2 linked regions of the Oryctolagus cuniculus genome follow. The protein of the gene in region 1 purifies or fractionates together with the protein of each later gene. This does not show direct contact. Links are inferred from orthologs where the notes say so. Each region holds a gene or a part of one and is shown on either strand. Other genes may lie near its edges. The genes, in order: PSTPIP1 and WAS.

Region 1 (4,508 bases):
GCAAAGGCTGGGTCCCACATCTGGCACCTGACACCCCGGATGTGGCGTGGCTCAGCCCGTGGCCTCATGCGGCCCACAGCCGCCCCCGTGCGTCCCTGGTAACTGAGTCACGGCCTTGCTTCGTGGCGGAGAGCGTCTGAAGAATCATTTCCAGAAGCCACTTCTTTTCTTTTTACTCTCTTGTTTGTTTGAGAGGCAGAGGGACAAAGAGAGCCAGCCAGGGCTCCCATCTCTGGGCGCACTCCCCGCCCGGGCCGGGAACCCGCTGTGGGTCTCCCACGTGCTGGACCAGGCCAGAGAGCGGCCCAGAGCTTCCTCCTGGTCACCACCTCTGCTCCTGGCTCTGCGGCCGCTGTGCTGGGGGGGGGGGCAGTGGGTGTCTCCATGGGTGTCACAGCCGGGTTCCCGTGACAGAGGCCGAGGGTGCCGGGTGGCGGCTGGGGCAGGGCCCAGGTGCAGTGCACCTGCCCACGATCGCCAGGCTAGAATCTCCCAGCGCACTGAGCTCGGAGCAGAGTCAGAGGTGGCTGGGTAAGGGGCGGGGGTGGTGGAGGAGGTGCGGGGCGGGGCCGGGGGTGGGCAGGCACTTCCTCCGAACAGCCTGGTCACTTGTGACCGTGGCTCATCGGCTGCACACCAGGATCCTGCAGGCTGCAGGCTGCGTGCTCCTGGGGACCCCAGGGCCTGCCTGCAGGGCCCCAGCAGAATGGCCGCTGTAGGTTTGCTCTGGCTTCTTCCCACTTTGGGGGTCTCCCTGGAGGGCTGGGCCGGGTGTGGCCGGGAGGGGAGAGGACTCGGAGCAGGAAGAGCAGATCTTGCTGGGGCCACCCCTGCCCTTCTCTGGGCCTCAGTTTCCCCAGGACTGAGGGGCCCTGCACCAACGCTGCCCAGCTGTCCGGTCAGGGGGATTCTGAGCTGGATGCCCAGGTCCGGAGGAGCCCTCGCGGGAGGGAGCAGGCAGGTCTGTGGCTCTTTCTCGCCGGCTGCCACAGGCTCTGACCCGGGGGGCCGGAGGCAGGGCAGGGGCTGAGCATGGGAGGCTGTGGCCCGCCCAGGGAAGCCGGCCCAGCCTGGACGGGGTGGGGGGTGGACACTGGCTCTAGGACAGGCCCAGGAACCTCTTGTCGCCCTGCAGGCAGCTGAGCCCCAGCCAGGCCCCCCCCCCCCAGGAATTTCTGGGGATGCTTTCGGAGGGGACAAGAGCTTGAGGTCCTGAGTTGCTGAGGGTGGGTCTGGCCTGGCCGGAGGGGCCGGTGGGACCCTCTGCACCATGACTGCTCCCCTGTCCCCGTCTGCGCCTCCCAGTGCCGCCTCCTGCAGGAAGCTCCCCTGGACTCTGGCTCTGTGGCCTGCTCCCCAGAGGCCCGTAATTCGAGGGGCCAGTGCTGGGTGGAGGCCGGAGCGCCAGGTTTTGACGGTGAAGCAGGAAAGGGCGTGGGGTTGCGAGAGCCCCGCTTTGGGAATGGGGTTGGGATCCGGCGGCCACAGTAAGATGGGCAACAGGTGCCACAGTTGCCCTGCCCGGCACCCAGCCAGCGTCCAGGATCCATGGCCGGTCCCTGGGACGGGCTGCCTGGGCTGCACCAGGGGAGCTAGGAGGACCCTCTGCCCAGGCCTGGGACAGTTTCCAGCAACAGCAGATCAGCCCCAGGCTGCCTGCAGGTGCTGGGTTGTCACAGGTGCTGGGTGGCCACAGCTGCTCCCTCCTCATCGCGATGCATCCAAACGCCCGCCCTGCCCCACCCCGCCCACGGAGAACATGGACTCAGGCGCTCAGCGTGCGCGCCTCACCTGGCAGGCGCAGGGGGCTGGCACGAGCCGCAACATGCAGTCAGGCTCACGTGAGCCGCCCAGGGGCCAGCCCGCTGGTGCCAGCTCCCCGGCCTGGCTTCAAGGTCGGGCCTTGGCTTTTCCAGGCTGGGTCTCCCCAGGTAAGGGCTGCTTCCCTGCGGCTCAGCCAAGTCAACAGGGCTATGGAGCTGGGGGGGGGGGCATCCGGGCCGTGCCAGGCACCCCCTGGGGGGGTGGATTTGCAGGTGGAGCTGAGGTCTCCCGGGCCGGGCCGTGTCCCCAGGCACAGCGGCCCCGCTCACTGTGCTCCTGAGCCTCTCTAGGTCCTGATGCCACCTGGTCGTCTCAGCGGGGCGATGTGGGGAGAGTGGGGGGCCTTCCGGGCCTCACTGCGCCCCCGCCCTGCCCTGTGTCAGTGCAGGGACTTCACGGCGCACACGGGCTACGAGGTGCTACTGCAGCGGCTGCTGGACGGCAGGAAGATGTGCAAGGACGTGGAGGAGCTGCTGCGGCAGAGGTGAGCGGGGGGAGCGAGGCGCCCCCACACCCCTGCTTCACAGAAGCCAGGGTGAGGCCGCCCTGCACCGCTGCCTGGGTTTGGCCCACGGTTGTTTCCAGGCCCCAGGGGTGGGGCGCTGGCGGCTGGCGTCCTGGGGGCCCGACGGCACGTGCTTGGCTTTTGCAGGGCCCAGGCGGAGGAGCGTTACGGCAAGGAGCTGGTGCAGATCGCACGGAAGGCCGGCGGACAGACGGAGATCAAGTGAGCGCTCCCGCAGCCCTCGCTGGCCGTCCTGGGCCTCAGACCGGGCGCAGGGCCTCCTGGGGCAGGGGACCCTCCTTGGAGCACCGTGTGCAGGGAAGAAGCCCCAAGGGACTGGAGGCTGGAGGGCCCTGATCCCTGGGCGCCTGCGTGTGCAGCCCCAGTCCTGAGAGGCAGGCGCCAGCCCTCTACGGGCTCGGCCGGGCTCCCAGGGTGGATGTGCGGCCAGGACTCGGGGCTGGGGACACACTGGCTCCCGTGCCAGCTCTCCGCACGCCTGCTGTGTGACCTGGGCTGGCCACGCACACTGTGATGGAGCAATACTGCAGCCCCTCCTCGGGGGCCATGTGGGTGTGGCTCGGGGTGGGGGCAGGGCTGTCTGAAGCTGCTGGGCCTCCCTGTGGTCCGAGGCCCCCACAGCCTGCGGGACAGGGCCCGGAGCGGCTGACCTCAGCGGGAAGGGGTCGTCCTGGCCTGGGGCTGCTCCTGGAAGGCGCAGGTGCTCCTGGGCGAGGGCCAGCTGGGCGCCCCAACTTCTCCCCCTGCCCAGGGGCCAGCAGCTGCCGTAGCAACCCCGTCCCTCACCCCTGCTTCCCTGGTGGTCAGGCCTGCGACGTGCCTGGCCACGCCCAAGAGACAGACCCAAGCGTACGACCCTGTTTCGAGACAGGGACCCTGGTGGGCCCCACTAGGAGCCGGAACAGAGACGGAAGGGCTGGTGGGAGATTTAAAGCTGCATGAGCCAGGGGAGACTCCTGTCCAGTGCCCAGAGGGGCCGTGCTGTGTGGCTCTGGGCAAGACGCTCCACCTCTCTGAGTCGGTGCTCATCTGCCCGCTTCAGCGGGCTGCCCTGTGGCTCCCTTAGGGTGCAGAGCGGGGCAGGAAGGCCTGTGGGACCTGGCTGGGGGAGGGGTGTGTGGGATCCCTGCTGCCTGTGCCTCCCAGGCCAGCTGGGGAACATGGACTTTCCTGGAAAAAGGGGGTGGGCCCGTGGGAGGGGAGGCGGGGGACTGCGGAGGCGGCCCGGGAGAGTTCCCCAGGGGGCCGTGAGTCACCAGGGACGGTGGCACGGAGGCTTGAGGTCGCTCAGAGACCCGGGGGGTGGGGGCAGGAGCTGCAAAGGGGCTCAGGACCGTTTCTAAAGTGTGGAGGCCGTGGGCTTGCCTGGGGCAGGGTCTGCGCTGACTCATTACTGGGTGGCCCTGGGGTGGTCACACCCTCTCCGAGATCTGGGTCCCTGCCTGGGACGGGCTGCTCCAGGCAGTCACAGACCCCACCTCGCAGGCATGGGGTCCTCACGGCTCACAGACCCCACCTCCTGGTGTGTGGCTGGGGGCCTGGCTGGGCACCCTGGCCATTTGCTTTGGGACTGGGGGAAGTGGCACAGGGAGTTGGAGGCTGGGAGTAGGGGGTGGGGCTTTAATCCAGAGGCTGCACCCAGGCAGGGAGGGGACTGGAGCCTGGGCTGGGGGTGCCAGGTGCGGGGGCTCGGCCATAGCATCAGAACCTGAGCGGCCCCTCAGCCCAGCCCCCAAGGCCTCAGGGCAGGTGGGGAGAGGTGTGGGGAAATCTGCACTGGGCGGCCAGAGGAGCAGGTGCAAGGGCGGAGCAGGGTGGGGGAGGCACTTCTGGGGGAGGCAGGGTCTGGGGGTGCTCCTGCCATAGGAGGAGGGCAAGCCCAGGGTCCACTGACAGTGCGGGAGCTGAGCCCCCCGCAGCTCCCCCCCAGGGGCCCCAGCTCAGCTAACTGCACACAGTCGGTGCTCTGTAAGTGCTGCTGTGAGGCCACGTACCCTTCCCGTTCTTCACCTGTGGGCCAGGCAGGCACTGTTTGCCCATGGAGTCCGCGAGCACTTACGCAGCGCCGACTGTGTGCCGTGTCCTGGACCGGGGTGTGTGTGTTGGGGGCGGGGGGAGGAATCCAGGAGTTAAACACAGATTCAAGGGTCCCCTTGTG
Region 2 (2,853 bases), on another chromosome or scaffold:
TTAGAGATGAGGAAACGGGCTCAGCGCCTGAGGCAGCTTGCTCATGTTCTGGAGCAGATCTGTGTGATCTTCTGTTGCAATTGGCTAGTGGTTTGCACCAGGAACTGGACAGAACTGAATTTTACAATTGAGAGGAGCATCCTGCCCAGCAGGTTCTTGCTGTATGAGTTGTGCACACAGAGAGTAGGGAGATTTGGTCATCAAGTGTGTTCTTGATCTAGTATTGTGCTCACTGAAAGCTTTTTTTTTTTTTAAATAATTAAGCACATGATCACCACACCTGGCCTCACACCAAGTTTGTCTCATCTCAGGGCCTTTGCACTGGCTATCCCAAAAGTTTAGACTGCTTTTTCTCCCAAATATTCTAATGGCCCATCCTCTGTTTTGTTAGGTTCAATACAACTGTCACCTCCTCCAAGTGTCACCTTCCCATTACCATCTGAATGGTGCACCACAGCACTCATCATGGTCTGTAACTCTGCTTGATTTCTATTTGGTTCTTTCTTTCTTGTCTGTTGCCCTAGGAGAGTGATTCCAACCCTATGAGGGCAGCAATTTATTTTTCTGTACTTCTTCCTCATTCCTTCATCCCTAGCCCCTGAAGTAGTGCCTGGAAATAAATATGGAAAGAAATACAGGCAAAATGGCTGAGGACGTAAAAGAACAAATCAATGAATATATCCATGTGAGGCTAAATAAATAAAATGAGATAGATCCACTAAAGGGACTTTGGGGAGAAAGGACCCCTAATTCCCACACTGGAAATGCAATCAAACACATTAGGGAAGACAAAAAGACAATGACTTTATTTTTTACTTAAAAATCCTTGAGTGAAGAGGACTGAGAATTTTTATATATATATAAAAAGGCCCTTGGTATTGGGAGGGTGATTGTGGGGACCAGGCAGGGAGAACAGCAGTCAAGGTAGGGTTCAGGGAAGAAATGGGATTTGGGGGTCTGGGGTGCAGAGTCGGGGCCGGGAGGCAGGGGCAGTAGAGAGCAGAGTAGGGAGTGGGCAGTGACTCAGTCGTCCCACTCGTCGTCTTCATCCTCATCGCCGGCCTGGTCCTCTCCTTCGTCTGAAAGGAGACAAGGATTCAGAGGGAGTTCAGCTTGGGGGGAAAATTCAAAGGCCCTGGAGAGCTGAGGGGGTATTCCTAAGGTCAAGTTAGGGTTTCTGGTTGGGACAAGATAGGCGTTATAGTCGGGAAGTCTGTTCTAGTTGGAGCTGAAATTAATATGGTATTGTTCAAAATATGGTTAGTCTGAGGCCTGGCATTTTAGTTTTGGGGTCTTCTGTTTGTCTGCTTACTACACTTGACCTTAGCCAAAAGGCCAAGAAGTGATTTTTTTTTTTAAGATGTATTTATTTATTTGAAAGGCAGAGAGAGAGCGAGCGAGCGAGCGAGAGCGAACTTCCATCTGCTGGTTCACTCTCCAGATGGCTGCAATGGCCAAAGCCAGGAGCCTGAGACTCCATCTAGGTCTCACACACAGGTGGCAGGGGCCCCAGCACTTGGGCCATCTTCCGTTCCTTTTCCAGGCCATTAATGGGGAGCTGGATCGGCAGTGGAGCAGCTGGGATACAAACCAGAATGATATAGGCTGCTAGTATCACAGGCAGCATATTTATCCATTACCCCACAACTCCGGCCACAGCTGCTCCACTTCTGATCCAGTGCCTGGGAAAGCAGCAGAAGATGGCCCAAGTGCTTGAGCCCCTGCCTCCCACCTGGGAGACCCCAGTGGACTTCCAGGCTCCTGGCTTTGGCCTGGCCCAGTCCCACCTATTGCAGCCATCTGGGGAGTGAACCAGTTGATGGAAGATTCTCTCTCTCTCACTCCCTCCCTCCCTGTAACTCCTTCTCTGTAATTCTGCCTTTCCAATAAAATTTTGAAAAATAACGCTTTAAGAAACATTTCCAAAAAACACGGTTAGTCGGGATATTGTCACACAACAGGTTAATGTTAACCCATTTGTCACTTAAAGGGGCAAGTGTAAATGCTGTTAGTGAAAGTGGGGTAATTTATTTTTGCTTAATGGTGGGTTAATGTTAATCTTTTTAACCCATAATGGAGTTTAATGATAATATTGCCAAATGATGAGGCTGGTTATAATGCTGTCATATAATGGAATCGCGTTAATCTTGTGGACACACTTTGGGGTTAATGTTATTGTCAAAGTTGGAGTTAATTGTATTATTGTCCGGTAATAGGTTAAAATTACTATTATCTTCATATAATGTGTGAAGGATAGTATTGTTGCCACAATAGGAGGTTAATATTAGCATTATTGTAGAAAGATGGAGTTAGCTACTATTATCATGGGTTCATATAAACTGTTGGTACAGGAAGTTAGTGTTAGTGTCGAAGATGGTGCTCTTTAAAATAGGATTGTCACATACTGATGTTAATAGGGCTGAATACAGGACAGCATTAATGCCATGGGCACACCCCTAATGATAATAATAGTTAATATTACATTAATACTATTGTCAAAGGTAAGAGTTATATTATGGTCATATACTGTCTAAATGTTACCACTAAGGAGACTGATCTAAGATTCTTCAATACTGTTACCCACAGACGTATATAATGTTTCTGTTGATGGGGACCGCCTGGGATGTTTGCAGGCCAAGGCTAGCCCTGGCAACCAGGTTCAGGGCCTGGGCCTGACAGGCTCACCGGAAGAGTGGATGGCCCTGCTTCTTTTCTGCATCACGTGCATCAGGGCGCCCACCAGCCCCTCGGAGGTCTGCGGTGGCGGCTGCAGGGCTGAGCTCTCTGGGGCCCCGGGAGTCTGCAGCAAGGAGAGTTTCAGTACTTCTTCCGCCCCTTCTTTGTAATTTTTCC

Evidence for each region.
Region 2: the proteins of PSTPIP1 (region 1) and WAS purify together in Homo sapiens (affinity purification with western blotting; 3 studies listed by BioGRID and IntAct, with this or other methods). This does not show direct contact. The link is inferred for Oryctolagus cuniculus from reciprocal best matches to the Homo sapiens genes PSTPIP1 and WAS.

What each region holds. Positions count from the first base shown.
Region 1 is NC_091443.1:107,548,288-107,552,795, forward strand, and holds the start of PSTPIP1 (proline-serine-threonine phosphatase-interacting protein 1), read left to right. Parts: upstream 1-1,700; 5' UTR 1,701-1,715; coding exon 1,716-1,931; intron 1,932-2,207; coding exon 2,208-2,308; intron 2,309-2,476; coding exon 2,477-2,551; intron 2,552-4,508. UniProt on the Homo sapiens protein: Involved in regulation of the actin cytoskeleton. May regulate WAS actin-bundling activity. Bridges the interaction between ABL1 and PTPN18 leading to ABL1 dephosphorylation.
Region 2 is NC_091453.1:33,878,960-33,881,812, reverse strand, and holds the end of WAS (actin nucleation-promoting factor WAS), read right to left. Parts: coding exon 2,686-2,853; intron 1,080-2,685; coding exon 1,052-1,079; coding exon of another isoform or gene 1,024-1,051; 3' UTR 785-1,023; downstream 1-784. UniProt on the Homo sapiens protein: Effector protein for Rho-type GTPases that regulates actin filament reorganization via its interaction with the Arp2/3 complex. Important for efficient actin polymerization. Possible regulator of lymphocyte and platelet function.